Oreochromis niloticus: one gene and its partner. The protein of the gene in region 1 binds, or shares a complex with, the protein of each later gene. Links are inferred from orthologs where the notes say so. Each region holds a gene or a part of one and is shown in the gene's direction. Other genes may lie near its edges.

Region 1 (7,665 bases):
TCGAGACTCTACCGGACAGATTGAGGAAGACCGAGCAGCAGCTCCGAGAAGCCCAGCAGGAGGCTGACGCACGTGAGAGGAGGAACATGGAGAATAACTCCGCCCTCTCTGAAGTCAGGCACAAGGTAGAGGTTTCATTCGAACCCAAAAGACCCAGCATACTTACAAATCCGGAAAGATTAATGAGTCTGATGAATATAATCCATGCACAGTGTGTCCAGGAACCCGTCATGGCTGACATGTTCCACTAAATGTTTTCCTTTGCAGGTGGAGCAGCAAGGCACTCAGCTGGAGACGCTTCAGCAGAGGAACCTGCTGCTGCAGGAGGAAAACAACGTCCTGAAGGAGAAAGTGTACAACTTCGAGAGGTAACAGTCACAGAGAAACTGCATTTAATGGACATTATTCTATTCAAGTTTATTTATATACCGCAGAGCCAAATCACAACAACAGGTGCCTCAAGGTGCTTTATATTGTAAAGATCCTACAGTAATACAGAAAAATCAGTATTATATCTGATCTTTTCCAAGCTGTGACACTAGATTTGTGTGTTGGTTGCAGGAGGCTGGAGGGCTTGAAGGCAGAAAACAGAGAGATGTCTCAATCTTTCGCTTCGAAGGAAGCCAGTATCCGCAGCATCCAGCAGCAGCTGGAGGAGAAGAGTCACGAGTGCAGCGTCCTGTCCAGACAACTGCAGCAAACTCTGGACGACGTACAGAAACAGGTACGGACACGTGGAGTCACAGAGGTCTCAGAGTTCTACAAAACATCACGCTCCAGAGGGGTGAATGGGTTAGTGGTCTGCAATGAGCTTAAAGCCAGAAGTGTCAGTATCAACACGGTGGCTCTCCTTCAACTTTTAAACAGCTACCAAGATGCTGCTGAACTGGTTGGTGGTGGGGTTTGGTTCACATCTACCTCACCCAACAAAAATCTTATAACAGAGTAACTGTTAAAGGAAATGCATGTAAGATAAATGATTTGACAAGTAGCATCACCCATTATCCTGGACTTCCCAAACTCTACAGTGTTCAGCAGTGACCTGGCGGATGTTAAGAGATTGCCATGGTTACTGGTGCTGAACACTTAAGCTTTTCTGAAGCAGGTCATGTTTGGAGTTTTGGTTTAAAATCAGCTGGAGGCTCCTCAGTGTCACTAACTCTTTTATTTTGATTTAATAGCTTTTATACCCGTCCCTGGATAGGGAGGGAGGGATGGATGTTTTATGCATGCACACTGTTGATCTGTATCTCACTAACGTCACTGAGTGAAGTCCTGCTGTGCAAACACTGACACACAGCTTGCACGCATTAACTTGGTGATGCAGAAGGTGTTTAAACTGCTGTTAAGTCTGCAATTAAAGATGTAAAAAATTTAGACTACAACTGAGATTAGAAAATCAGTCAGTCGACTTTGTTACTAGATACATTACTTATTGCAGGGAATATAAATCAGTAAATTTAATTTCACATTGATGTGGTCAAAAAATCGAATGATTTCCATCTCTCCTTCATTGGTCTGTGGGTCAGAGTCAGAGCTGAACACAGCAAGCAATCTTTAACTTGAGTGGTAAAACAAATGTATTAACTTATGATTGAGCAAAATTGTCCTCAAGTCAATTAAATCAGACTCTTTTTATATATTTGCTCGATTAATGCTGTTAGTAAGGTGTTAGTGCTGCTAATGTGGGTGAGGCTCAACACTTTGGTTGGTGTTTCTGTTCTGTGTTAAACTGATGATCCAGATTTTACACCTCCTCAATGTGAGCAGTGTCCACGTCCACACTGACTACTGATCATTGAGTTGAACTGGGGTAAAGACTAAAGCTTTGATTTACATGTTTGTACACACTCACTAAAGATAATGTCAAAGAAACTAAATCATCAGTTTTTCCCCGGAGGATTTTGGTGCTCATATGTTTATTTTTCATGTTCGGCCTTCAGGTAGACGATAGCATGCAGAGGGTTTTAGCCAAAGAGAGATCGTCTCAGTCTAAAGCCCTGGACCTTCAGAGCCAGCTGAGCCGAGCCAAAACGGAGCTGAGCCAACTGCAGCGAAACAAGGAGGAAGTAAGTCACCGATGAATACTCTGCACATGCAGGCAGGCTTAGATAAAACCAAGAGGCCAGCACAAACGTATGTCAGGAAAGCTCCTTCTGGCCCATTTGGGTCAGTGACAACAGTTCCACCAACCTTCTACAGCAGTCAGCAGAGGAGGTGTTTGAAACCTGTGGCAAACATGGAAAAAGGTGGAGCAGGAGTCACTTTTCACGTTTCGCTCATTTGCAAATAAAAACATAGTTAGGACCACGTGTTCACATAAAATATTTTAAGATTAAGGCCATCTAGCCTTTCAAAAAAAAGTTTAAAACACAGCAGCTCCTCCGTCACAGCTCACAGAGGAGCTCCAGCCTCGCGCAACAAGTGGCAACATGACGGAGACAGCGAGCTCAGGTGTTGTGAACGTAAATGTGTTTTCAAATTTCCAGCAGCAGCGCTCGTTACTATAATCACTATAAAAACCTTCACAGGTAAAAAGCCAATCAGGGTCCTTCGTTAAACCACCTGTTCAGCAATCATTAACATAAAGACAGTCATCCTTTCAGCTGCTCGCTGTTTCACACAGCAGAGTTTCAGGATGAAGAAAAAGCATGAAGAGAAACTCCCAACTCGGTTTCTCACTCTGGAAATCTGGAAGTCTTTGTAAACTTTGCTGCAGGCTGACAGCAGCTGTCCACTGTCTCTCTCTCTCTCTATTTCTCTTACTCTGGTTCATTGTTAATTATTTACCATCAGCTCCTGACCCATAAATGCTTTGAAGAACTTGCTGTTGCTGTGACATGTGTGTAAATTTGCGCATCACTCCTGTTTTTTTGTCCAAAGACACACAGAGACTCTTATTGCTTTCACTGGTTTTGTCCTTTTTGTAAATCTGGGTAGATTTAAGGCAGCTTTGGTACTGAAACTGAAACATCACATGATAATGATGCTCAAAGTTGTACAGGGGGGAAAAAAGGTGATGTTGTGATGTAGGAGTGTATCCCTGCTTTTGTTTCCCAGATGGAGCGACGCTTCCAGAGCCAGCTGCAGAACATGAAGGAGAGGCTGGAGCAGTCGGACTCGACAAACCGCAGCCTGCAGAACTACGTCCATTTTCTCAAAACCTCCTACGGAAATGTGTTCGGTGACTCTCTGCTTGGAAGCTGACAAGCAAAATTTATCCAGCCTGACCAGCAGTGATCCTCCTGAACTATCATACGGGCCATAAACCGCATTTATTAAAGGTCTGCTTTTGACTTTGTATGAAATTAATAAAATTGAATTTATGGATAAATTCTCAGTTATTAGTTGCCTAAACATTTTATTTATGTATAACTTACCAGTAACTTAGTCAGCAACTGCAGAGCCAAGATAAAAAGCTCCAATAAATGTTTTTATGATTTACAATATTCTTGCTGATTTACAAACATAAAAATGATGTGAGGTATATATTATAGCATTTTGTATTTTACACCAGAGTGTCATTAAAGTCAACGTAAAAAAAGAAAAGGAAAAAAAGACTTGTTTCATTTATGTTAGGAGGTACTTTTGGAACATTCTACCTGCATTGTAAGACTACAATGTAGAGAAATTGGACTACAAAACCAATGTTTTAGTTCACCACAGCATGTTTTTACCCTGTTGTTTTATGTGTGTCAGATAAACGAGAAAAGCCCGTGAAATATATCAATACAAAGACTGGATGTTTAAAAAAGAAGGAACATCCTGATGTTTGATGTTTGGTTCTATATGTTTTTTATTTTTATTTTCAGTTTCCAGTCCTATGATATCGGTGCGTAATTTGCACCCATGGATGGCTCAAACCTTCGAGTCTGTTCTGAAACGCTTACCTCATTCCTCATGCTGTTCAGAGCCAAACCCCACTTTTTTCTACTCCTCAGTACTACTTGGATTTTTATGAAGCAGCAGAAATGAACTCGTTTCTTGGTAGAATGCTGATTAAGTAAACTGGATAGTCGTATAGAAATTGGCCTATAGCGCAATATTACTAGAGAACCCTGCGATTGCACAATACGGTAATTTTTAATGAAACACATCTTATTTTCTTATGTTTTCCTGCTGAGTACTGAGCCAGTAAAACCCCTTTCTTCTTCCTTGTTTAGGATTTCTATGACTGCGAGTCAAACATCACAGTAAACATTAATTCATTATAATCCTACAGGCTCGAATGCAAGAATAGACCTTATCAATCCAAACGGAGTTATACTGAACCTTGAAAATACTTTGATCAGTTAATATAGCTCATAGTCTTGATTTAGAGAGTTTGTATAAATCTATGTTCTTCACGCGAAGCAACTGGAAAAGAAGCAGATTTTCTTACAGCAGTTCAACTGTGAATTATAGGAAGGCGTTTTCTAATTTCCTTTCTTAATAAAGGAAAGTGAACCTCGGGTTACGTCACTCAGGAATCTTTCTAACCAAAACGGACTGTGGGAACCTAATAAAGAAATTATCATAGTTAAATATTAAAATAGTCCATAATAGAGTTATCTCTATCATTTTGTAATGTGTGATTATACAGATGGCAAAGAAATAAATATATAAATGTCCCAGATGGGAACTTAATAAAGTCTGGTGGTTTCTCTTCGGATTGTATTTTATGTAACGCCGTATGTCGGATTCAAACTTGGCTAGCATTACTGCTAATCAGTTGTAGTTTTTTTGTGTTTCGCGATGCCTTCTGAAAGTCTACGATGGGAAACTTTGCAGGCCTTGAAAAATTCACCAAAGGGGAAAATCTCCTTCGACCCGTTCTGGTTGGAAAGGGGAGAGGTGAGTTGCCGCCAGGTAGCTAAAAAAACAACTAGAGCTAGCTAAACGGTAGCTAGTTAAAGTTAGCACGCTACGCTTGTTTAAAATAATCACTACAAGGGTGAGTTTTATTCAAAGTGACAATTTAATCATTTAGATCAGGCAGTAAGACTTCAGCTCAGAGGCTAATCAATAAACAGTGGTTGAAAACAAAAGGTTGAGAGGCATTTACGCAAATAACGTAGTATAGTTACGTACTTTTTATTTTTAATCTTCAGATATCCGTTTATGGATTTTCTTCAAATGACTACTTTTATTACTACTTTTATTTGACAGATAACTAATGTGACTTCCGTTTATAAACTGTGAAGCCTATATATACACCTATATAGGTTTTTATGTACATATATATATATATATATATATATATATATATATATATCTATCTATATCTCGCAAAGACCGCGATTAAAATTGGCTGCAACTCGAGGTGTGGACGTGCACAGCAGAGTTGATCATTGCTATTGAACCCTGCTGCAAACACTAACAGTATAACTGTATTTAATTATTACTTATTGCTAATTTTTCTAACCACTTCATCAGTAGGACTTTCTTTGAAAGGTTTTTATTCTATTATTTTTTAAAAGAGCAAAGTTTATTTTTATTGCGCTTTTCGAATTTGGGAGGCTGAATTCCATTTTAGTTTCCAGATTTTGACACAAGGGCAGTGGACAATAGTCAACTATAATTCCGCTCTTCTTGTTTGCGGTGGTGACATGCAGGCTGTCAGATGAGGTCAGGCAAGAGTCTCTGTACACTGTGAGGTTCACTGATGACATTGTGAGACTGTAGTGAGGAGGGAGTAGGTGGCGGTATAGGGAAAAGGAATGTGTGTGCTTGAGAAGGAGACGGGTGCAACAGTTTGGATGTAAGGAGCAGAGGTAGTGAAGGTAGAGGAGCTTAAACCATCCAAAGAAATGGACAGCACACAAGAAAGGGGAGGCAGGGGGACGAGTGTCAGGGGTGATTTGAGACAGATTTCTGTTGTTGAACTCCATGTTTATAAAAGCAGAGGTATGAACTCACTGATTCCTCATGAAGGTGTTTACATGTGTAAGGCTTTACCTGATGTTTTTACAGACAGGGAAAATCCAGTGTGTTTGATGTGTTTTTGTTTTGATTAAATCATTTCAGGCTTTAAGGAGTCCTACTTTCTGAAAGGATATGGCAACATGAGTGATGCATACAGTTTCTGTGCATAAACCATCTCTAAATGAAGCCCGGTTGTGTTCTTGTAGCCTCTTTTAGCAGGTTGTAAAGACTCCCCAAGCTTGTCCCCAATCGCTGGTGTCATATTGGAGCGTCTCAGCTCAGCGCCCCTGCAGAAGTCATTGTCCTTCCTGGGCTCCAGATCCGGAGACTCCAGCCCTGTTCTCTCAGAAGTCTCCATTTCTTCTTCCGGATCTGTCCCCGATGTCAGCGCCAGGACAGCTGCATTTTCTGCAGCAGCGTCTGTAAAGAATGAGCGAGAACAGGCAAGTCCTTAATGTCTCTTATGTGTCATTTTGTTAAATAGTTTTCCAATTTAACTGAATATCTGACCCTGATGGGTTTTTTTTCCTCATGTTGATGCTCTGTAGACTCTTAGTGATAAGGTGAAGGATGAAAGTCCAGAGGCAGATGTCAGTGGAGTTTCCAGTCCTACGTCATTACCTGCCATTTCCCTCCTGTCTCCCAAAGCAATGGAGATGGCTGGCTGTATCATCAAAGTTCAGGAGGAGCATCGAGAAAAGGCTAAGGTTCAAGATTGAGTGTGTTTTTTATTTTAATTTTTTTTAACTGAGAAACAGGTTAACAGTGATCATGTTTTTTTTTTTTAAATTTAATTTTATTTCCAAACCAAACTTCAAATGTTTTTTGTTGTTGTTGGGTTTTTGTTTTGTTTTTTTAACTCCTCTTATGATTTTTGTCAGTAGCAGCTTGTGTTATTGTATTTGTTTGCTTTCAGCTTTTGTTTTTAGAAACTAACATGTAATCTAAACATTATATGAATATGTTCAGGTTTTCTTGTTAAAGTTTATGGAAAAGCATGTAATGTTAGACACTTACACATTACTGGAAATGGGTCTAAACGTCTTCATACTAACCTCTGTTGGCTTACTGATCAGTTATATATTTTGCATGTTGACCCCTGCGTACTATATACTTGGTAAGGGTCTCACTGGACTGTCTTCTATCTGTCGACTCAGTTGGCCCTCAGGGTGCGGCAGGAGATGCAGGAGAACCAGGTAGTGGCGGTGGCGAGTGCCGAGTCAGAGCAGCTGAAACGCTTTGAGGAGCTCATGGAGCTGAAGCAGAGGCAGGAGTACCAGAGTATGAGGGACATGATGGAAAGAGAGTAAGGGGAATCATGAAGCATTTGAAATGGTTATAATGCTTAAAAATGTCTGAAATTTCACATGTGATTAAACACCTGGTCTGGTTTTCCACTTCCTGTACTGCAGAACAAAGGAGAGCATCGGGCGTCAAGAGAAGTTGAAGGAGGAGCAGCGGCGCAGAATAACGGTAAGTGGAAAGTTCAGGAAACGTGAAGCTTAAACCCATGTTTGTCAAGTTGTTTACGGAAGTCTTTAATTTTGCTTGTTGAACTTGCAAAAATTTTGCATGTTCTGTCTCAAAGTTTGAAACCGATTGTGAGGTGCTGGATGTGCAGAGCTCTGCAGCAGGAGAAGTAGATGCTGTTTATTTTTGGTAGTCTGCTGTAGTAATGATCTCCTGCACATACAGGGGAATTTCTTGGGCTTAGTGGGGTAGAAAAAGTTTTCTCGTTCCTGCTCATGCTTTTTGTTTGTC
Region 2 (7,789 bases), on another chromosome or scaffold:
ACGAGGGACAGCTGTTTACAGATACTGAGAAATATAAAATTTGAATCCCTTTTCTCTTTGATCTGAGGCGCGGGGGAAAAAATATCGACAACTCGATGAACATCATTTACAGATATATTGGGTAAATGCCCAAAACATCTATAGAAATGTAAATCGCCGCTTGATTCATTCATTTGCTTATTTTGTTTGGACCGTAAACAAGGCGCGAATAGGACACCGGAAACAAAGCTCCCCACAGGAGTTTCCGCACCGGAAGTAGCATATGCTAACGTGCACACAGTCTATTACTTGTTGATGGAAAAAATATAACAAATGAAACACAGTAGACTTATGACAAACTGAGGAAGGTTCCTTTTTGTCCCAAATACAACTGTTATTTTGTCTGTCTCAATGAAATGTTGCCTATGTCGTTGCATTTTGTGGTTTAATCTCAAACATTATAGCTGAGCTGACTTTCCTCAGTAGCAAACACTGGCACTAAAACTAGCTGTAATACCTAAAAAAATGATTATGACAATATGAAAGAACAGCAGTCACATGTTTATAATAATCGATAATAAACAAATAGTATCTTCTGGTTTGTTGCAGAATCGCAGGAAAAAGTCCTTTCTCCTCTGGCAAAGCTCCCCCAGCCGACCCGATGGGCTTTATTCAAGAAGCTCCAAGAAACTCTGAGTGACAGAGCTGCTCTGTCATATCTGCAGCTTGTGGTGAGTGAAACTGGTATTGCCCTGTAGACCAGATGTTCGTGGTGACCACTAGCCAGTCGGCTAAAATAATCTGTCTCGCGGTTGTGTGAATAAATGTGTAACCACAGCATCCCAAAATTTTTATTTTTCCTTCTAATATTAAGCCCTTTTTCTGTGTCAGCTTGAAGATTTGTGTAGCAATGAAATACACAATGGGACCCCAAAAGAAGAGCAACCCAGTGCAGAGAGTCCCACTGAAAGCACCCTAAATGCAGCATACCTGTTGGTCAGTGCCATGGAAGGTAAGAAGTTACAGACAAAAAAAGATCAGCATACAAAGCAGTGGTGCAGAATCTTTTGCTTTTTAGTGGGTTTAACCTCATCATGTGCTCTGTTTAATGTTTTTATAGAGTTGCCCGATGAAACTCTGGAACTTCTGAGCAAGAGCGCTCCTGATTTTCTGCAGGCCTTCAACATGCTGGTTAGCTAACTTGTTTCAGTTTAGTACACATTGTTGGTAATGATTGGTACCATGATTAGTACATTGGTGGTTGAGTTAATTCAATAATTCAATATGTACGCAGAACACACTCACACACAAAAGAAAACTATGTATTAAAAATAAATTTTACATCTCTAAACATGACACGCACCTGTTTAGCTTAGTATAAACGGGGAACTAGCTAGCCTATCTCTGTTCCAGAGGTGTCAAAATACACACCTATCTGACCTTCTAAAGTTCACTTAATAATGTTATTTCTACTGTATATATTTTTTACCCCCCAAAATTCCTTGTGGCTTTCTGGAGGCTTCTTTAACCAGGCTAGCTATGCTAAGCTAACTATAACCAATTATGGGGTTTTAGCTCTATATCTAATGTTATGACATGAATTCATAGTATTTATTAAGCCATTTCATCTTTCTTTATGTTAGTTCTTTGAGGAAAGTAGAATTAGAATCTGTAAACCAGCATTTTGCAACAAAGAGCTTGTCCACTGATCCACCTACCTATCTCCCCAGGTGTGCAAGCTAAAGACCAGCGATGTTCTCAACATTCAGTCTCTTCCTGCCCTGCTGCAGGATAACCAGGCCTTTCAGCTGGCAGAGCAGCTACTTTCCTCCACCAGTGTGATGCTAAGGAGAGACGCTGACCGCCTGTGGATGGAAACCAGAGATAATGCAGGAGTCCTCCCAGTGGTCCTCTTCCTCAGCATCCATGGATTGTGTTTGCTCTGCAATGCACTTTAATAGTTGTAGTGCCTGAGTGTGCACTCCCTCTTCTTTTTTATTGATTGTATTTGCACCATTTCTTTTTTTATTGTAAAATCTTATTACATGTAAGCTTGCTATAGTTTGTTACAAGACTTTTTCATATTATCATCATTATTGCTTTTAAAATATTGCTTTAGATTTGTTACAGAGCAGGGGAATTTTTTTTTCCTAAATATGTTTTTATTATTTACAACAAACATTGTATAACATGTATTTTGAAAAAAAGAAATATATATTGATAGATAGTGATTAATTGAAGGATTTGATATATTGTGGGGCAGCTCTGATATGATATATTGTTTCATTTTCTTACTTTTCACAGAGTTTGATTAGACACCTTAGCAGGGTTCTTGAACTCCAGTCCTCGAGGGCTGGTGTCCTGAAACTTTTCCATGTGTCCCTGTTGCAACACACCTGAATAAAATTAGTAGGTCATTAGCAAGAGTATAGAACTTGATTGCATGCTGACGTGGCAACCCATAACCCTACTCAAGTGTTTGGAAAAATGTACTTCTAAAAGTACTTTTATTGCACCAGATTCATTCACTCATGAGCTGCTGTAACATGAATCAAATGCTCTTGCTAATGACCTACTAATTGTATTCAGGTGTGTTGCAACAGGGACACATGGAAACATTTCAGGACAACGGCCCTCGAGGACTGGAGTTCGAGACCCATGCCTTACAGTAATCTGTCCTACAAGTTCAATCCAGACGTTCTTATCTGCTAGTTTTTGGTACACAATTTTTTTTATTTTTTAGTAAATCTCATCTTTTAGAAAATTTACTAACCAGGGATCACTTGAAAGGCGATTAAGCTAAAGGCAGTTCAGATTTCTCAGCTCAAGAAATGTTTACATGTTGATGATTTTATACGGAAGCGTAGAGCTGCCACCCAGGGAAAAGAAAAATAGAGCTATATCACATTATAACGTGACAAGTTTATTGATCTAACAATATACTTTACATGTTTGTACAATATACCTTTCACATTTGAACAACATAATATCACGTTATTACAATAAACATAATTATCACGTTATAACAAAAAAAGTTTGTACGAACGTGATAATTATGTATATTGTAATAACCTGATATTATGTTGTTCAAACTTAAAAATTATATTGTACTAACATGAAAGTATATGTAACAAACAAGAAAAGTATATTGTTAAAACAATAAACTTTTCATGTTATAATGTAATATAGCTCTATTTTTCTTTTGCCTGGGTGACAGTTCTACACTTCTGTAATTTTAAGCTTTTCAGTTAACATAAAAAATTGAAGTTTGTTCCATGCCTATGGTATGTAAAATAACTAGCCTTTCCAAATCTATGTTGTGAAAAACATGCTACATGCCAATTCATGCTAGGATTTTTAATTTTAAATGGTACGGCATTGTATTACTGCTCATCTTAATAATCAAAATAGATTTATACTTCTTTTTTTTTTACTTAAAGAAAGCTTTATTTTTAATACTCTCTTGAAGACCAGACTTTGTTAAAACAAGCTACACTATAAAATACAGTAGTGACATTTTTAAAAGTAGTGCTTTTATTAAGAAGATCATGTGTTTTCATATATGACCTATACATTTTTATGACATTCCTTTTCCCATGACCTTACTGGTACTTACTTTCTAATTTATTGTTAAGAAAGACTATATTACTAGGCTTTCAAAGAAAGTGTTTTGCATGTAGTTGTCTGTATCAAAGTATGTCATTTTGATAACACAGAAAGCAAAAATAAAACTTTTATATTTTCCGTGAATTGTGTCCTCCATAGAAAAATAAATGTGATGCAAACTACATTTTATTGTACATGTTTAGAGAAAGTAGTGCATTGTGGGATTCCTGTGTTGAAAACAATAAACGATCATCTTTTACATTTACATTTTTGGAAATTAAGAACGAGTGTGGTGTAGTAGCTGTGTATCAATGGGGTATGGATACAGATTATTCACACCATTTCTAATTATCTTAAATTAGTGTTTACTTATTTATTTATTTTTTTACATTACAGTAAGCACCGTAACTTTCTTATAGTTCCACCATAGCTTTTAAGGTTACTATTTACTGACAGCTACAAACTGTAGGTAAGAAAGTGTTTGACATCTTCAGTGTGCTTTTTTTCATAGGTTTAAAAAGTTTCTCCAACTCTGAGATTCCAAACCACAAAGGTGTGATATTTGCTGTGTATTTTGGATTTTAGTCAGAGTTTGTGCAAATGTTTAATAATTATTAAATATTCTAAGGTCTTACAAACATTAAATCACTTTTAACTTTAACATTATTACACATCATGTTGTAGCTGTAATTTACAATTTTTTAAAAAGTGATCATTTTAGCTGAGTCATGTTTGATAAGATCTTATGAGTTAGTAGCTGAGTGAGTTATTAGTAGTTGTGACATCATTTAACAACATTTACCAAGGACTTTACCATACTTTACCAAGTACAAATACTTATACTACTACAATTTTCAGGTATCTGTACTTCACTTGAGTAGTTCTTTTTCTACATTTTTGAACAGATATCTGTAGTTTCTACTCCTTACATTTTGTCAAATAAAATAAAATAAAAATACTGATATTTTTTTTTTCTTTGGTAAAGGTTAAATTTAAAAAAATTGAAATAAAATGTATTTTTAATTTATTATTAATTATTTAATTTCTTCTTCTTCTTCTTCTTCTTCTTCTTATTATTATTATTATTATATAACTTGTTAAAATTAAAAAAAATATCTGATAGAGAAATTATCTAGTAAAGAAATTTAAAAAAAAGAATCCCACCCGAAAAAAAAGACCACGTGGGACAAGCGGTGACGTAAATCTCGTGCGACCGCAGTTCAGACGCGGCCACAAAATATTGTCGAGTGGAAGTGGGGTTTTTTGGGCTCTAAAAGACGCCTTTAGCACCTTTTGGAAATGCCAGTGTGCAACTTCTTTCTTCAGGGCCGCTGTCGTTACGGCGAAAAATGTTGGAATGAGCACCCAAGAGGAGGGAACAGAGGAGGAGGAGGTGGTGGAGGATACAACAACAACTACAGCAACCGCTCCTCTGGTCAGCAACAGCCCAGAAGTGGAGGTGGAGGTAACGTCTTCGATAAATTAATATTCATCTAAACCTACTTTCAGTTTCTTTAGCATTCTTCTTGTGATGTTTTCGCTCTCTTAGCTAGCTGTTGTTAGCCTTCCTTTTCTGTCCCACTGAATTGTAGGCAAATTAAGTTTGTTTCGTGGGTAAGGTATTTGAACAGTGGGCTGAGATACAAACACATCCCGAGGCCGAAGCAGGATTTGTGCTTATCTACGTAACTTAACCATGGTGTTAACCCTGGATTTTCAACTGTGGTTCATTTCTTACTGGGGTGTGTCACCGTCATGCTAACTTATGTAGAAATGGAAGGGTAGCCTGAGTATGTTGAACTCACTTCATAGCACGGGGCCCAGTCAAACATATCAACTCTGTTAAGTTTTAAGTATGTCAACAACTTGGCAAATGGTGTTTTTTTTTTCAAACTTGAATGGGCATCACAAAAGAGGTTTTCCTGTTATTCAGACGCCACATGAATGCACATTTAGTATAGGAGGGATGGGTAATGTTACTGTGTCGTAGTTTCTTTTCCAATGCAGTTATACAATACGCTGGAAACAAATACATATTTTACAAAGGTCAGGTGTGTGCTAAACAACAGCAATTTAATTTCATGTTATCACTTCATGAGACCTCGTGGTGGTTATCAAATGAATGAGTGTAAAGCAGACAACCAGCTTGCAGTAAAGAAGAAAGTCGAGGATAAAGCTAACCAGAGAGCTAATAAAGTGATTTAAACAAGGATTAAAATGGGTTAATAATAATGATGCACTATGGAGTGTATTTTACACAATTTTTAATGCTTTGTGACACTGGTTTGTATTTTGATTCCAGGGTTTGGAAACAGAGTCTGGGTGAATCCTTCCCAGCAAAAAGGAAACTACATCCAGCCTTCATCCTTCTCTTCTCACGGAAGTGACGACTGGGGTCATGGAGGAGGAGGTGGTGGTGGTGGAGGGCGAAGAGAAAATGTGAAGAGCTCCGACTTTAGTTTCTCAAGTCAAAACAGATTTTCAGCTCTTAATACTCCCAGCACCTTTGACAGGGGAGGCAGGGGGGGAGGAGGAGGAGGAAGGGCAGCGGGAGGAACAGTTGGTGATGAAGACGACGACAAAAAACTGTGAGTCTTTATGAAAAAACAAAACGTTCTTTTTTTTTAATTTTTATTTTTTATTTATTTATTTATTTATTTATTTTTAATCAGTCATAAGAAAATCATTGTCATATTTGTTATCTAGGGAAGTCATTCAGATGGACATGGATGTTTGGGAGAAGTCTGGCCAGTGGGGATTCTCTTGTTATTATAGCTTCCAGACACTTGTATCTGGTGTGTATGAAATTTTTCATTTTAAATGTATATTTTTAAAAACTGAAACACTGGACCTGAACATGTTTCCTGTGTTCTGCCTACAGGTTTCACTGACCTCTCCCCTGAAGAGCTCCGGCTGGAATACTACTCCACAAGAGCTTCAGGAGATCTGCAGGGCTACGTAAGTGCAGTGTTCCTTAGTAATGTCATGTCTGTTTGGCTTTGGGTCAGTAGTCATCTTCTTCGTGGATAGAAGCATGGCGCCAAGTCTTTTTGTTATTATAATCAAGCTCTAATTTAATATCGGAAGGCAAAACGTTAAATGTGTTTAAGTATTTCTAAGAGTATAAGAAATTCCTCTTGTCTGTGCTTAGATGAATGCCATCAATCAGCTGCTCAGTCAGTGGAAAAACAGAGTCCAGGAATTGAAGATTATGAATCCAGCCACTCGTGCGGCACTGGTAAGACACACAGATGCTCACAAACACCGCTTCCCAACTTTAGATCATTTGTTACAATTCCAGAGTCCATAACTGGTCCCTAATGAGACGTGAAAACCAAACAGCACTGAGAAGATGTGTTTAGATTTTTAGCATTAGGTTTGCATGTCAGCAGTGTGCAGCAGTGGAAATGTATTAAACGAAAATGTATTCTAAAAGTTTCCTTCTACTCTTTGAACGTATCGAACACCTGGTTTACATTTAATGCTGAGGTTCTGATTTCACACTAGCATTGCTCCTGTCTGTTTTGGGGCTTTTAATTCAGTGTTTTATTTTTTTTACTTCATTTGTTTTCATTGCAGCTTGCAGAATTAAATGGTGCTGCACCTCAGGGATCTTCAGGTGGGTTTGGTTCGACAACAGCAACTGGATTTGGAGCCTCCATCTCCAGCTTTGGAAGCAAAGGTAAAGCTCAACGATTTCTTTATTGTAGCAGTTAATAGTTCATCGTGCTATATTAACCCAAAACACAAAAGTGTTTCTGACATAAAATAGCCAGCGGAATAACCTTTAGTTAAATCATAAACTGTCTTTCCCATTTCTAATGAGTTATGATGCTTGAGCAGATTTTACAGAGACTGCATGTAGTTTAGTACTACTTTAGTAGTTTAGCACTAAATTAATCAAAGTGTAGGTTTTCAGAATTTGATAATAAAATGTATTTTGTGAAATTATCCATCACTCCATGATAACTCTAAATCCTTCTGTTCCTGCAGGTTTTGGTGCGCCAGCACCAGCCCAGGCCAGCGGTTTCAGCTTTTCTGCTTCAAATAGTGGATTTGGCTCTGCAGCCACACAGTCATCTTCAACAGGTTTTGGTAACATCTTAGCAGCCCCCACACAGCCTCCCTCTGGGTTCAGCGCTGCGTCCTCCTCTGCACCTTCAGCTTCAAGTTTCTCCTTCGCCTCTAGCACCACGGACAAATC

The links. The genes of interacting proteins can lie anywhere in the genome.
Region 2: the proteins of gle1 (region 1) and nup42 are in contact, whole or in part, in a crystal structure (PDB 6B4I), measured with the Homo sapiens proteins. The link is inferred for Oreochromis niloticus from reciprocal best matches to the Homo sapiens genes GLE1 and NUP42. Residues at the interface, in NP_001003722.1 of Homo sapiens: Ile385, Ile593, Leu598, Asn599, Trp602, Arg603, Ala606, Gln607, Leu609, Asn610, Gln636, Tyr637, Gln638, Val639, Gln640, Lys643, Met644, Ile646, Leu647, Glu650, Asp651, Tyr652; in NP_001357375.1 of Homo sapiens: Asp185, Asn186, Val187, Leu188, Phe189, Gln202, Phe203, Gln204, Ser205, Lys206, Lys207, Phe208, Leu210, Gly211, Lys212, Ile213, Pro214, Leu215, Lys216, Pro217, Pro218, Leu222, Leu223, Asn224, Val225.

The regions. Positions count from the first base shown.
Region 1 is NC_031977.2:33,266,126-33,273,790, reverse strand, and holds the start of gle1 (mRNA export factor GLE1), read left to right. Parts: upstream 1-4,647; 5' UTR 4,648-4,734; coding exon 4,735-4,833; intron 4,834-6,110; coding exon 6,111-6,347; intron 6,348-6,452; coding exon 6,453-6,611; intron 6,612-7,061; coding exon 7,062-7,210; intron 7,211-7,316; coding exon 7,317-7,377; intron 7,378-7,665. Other genes in the region: outer dense fiber protein 2, read left to right, coding at 1-125, 268-368, 562-724, 1,944-2,069, 3,061-3,207. UniProt on the Homo sapiens protein: Required for the export of mRNAs containing poly(A) tails from the nucleus into the cytoplasm. May be involved in the terminal step of the mRNA transport through the nuclear pore complex (NPC).
Region 2 is NC_031985.2:25,558,892-25,566,680, forward strand, and holds the start of nup42 (nucleoporin NUP42), read left to right. Parts: upstream 1-4,771; 5' UTR 4,772-4,884; coding exon 4,885-5,050; intron 5,051-5,887; coding exon 5,888-6,173; intron 6,174-6,291; coding exon 6,292-6,380; intron 6,381-6,466; coding exon 6,467-6,543; intron 6,544-6,736; coding exon 6,737-6,823; intron 6,824-7,164; coding exon 7,165-7,267; intron 7,268-7,578; coding exon 7,579-7,789. Other genes in the region: gasdermin-E, read left to right, coding at 589-710, 871-991, 1,100-1,170, 1,710-1,937.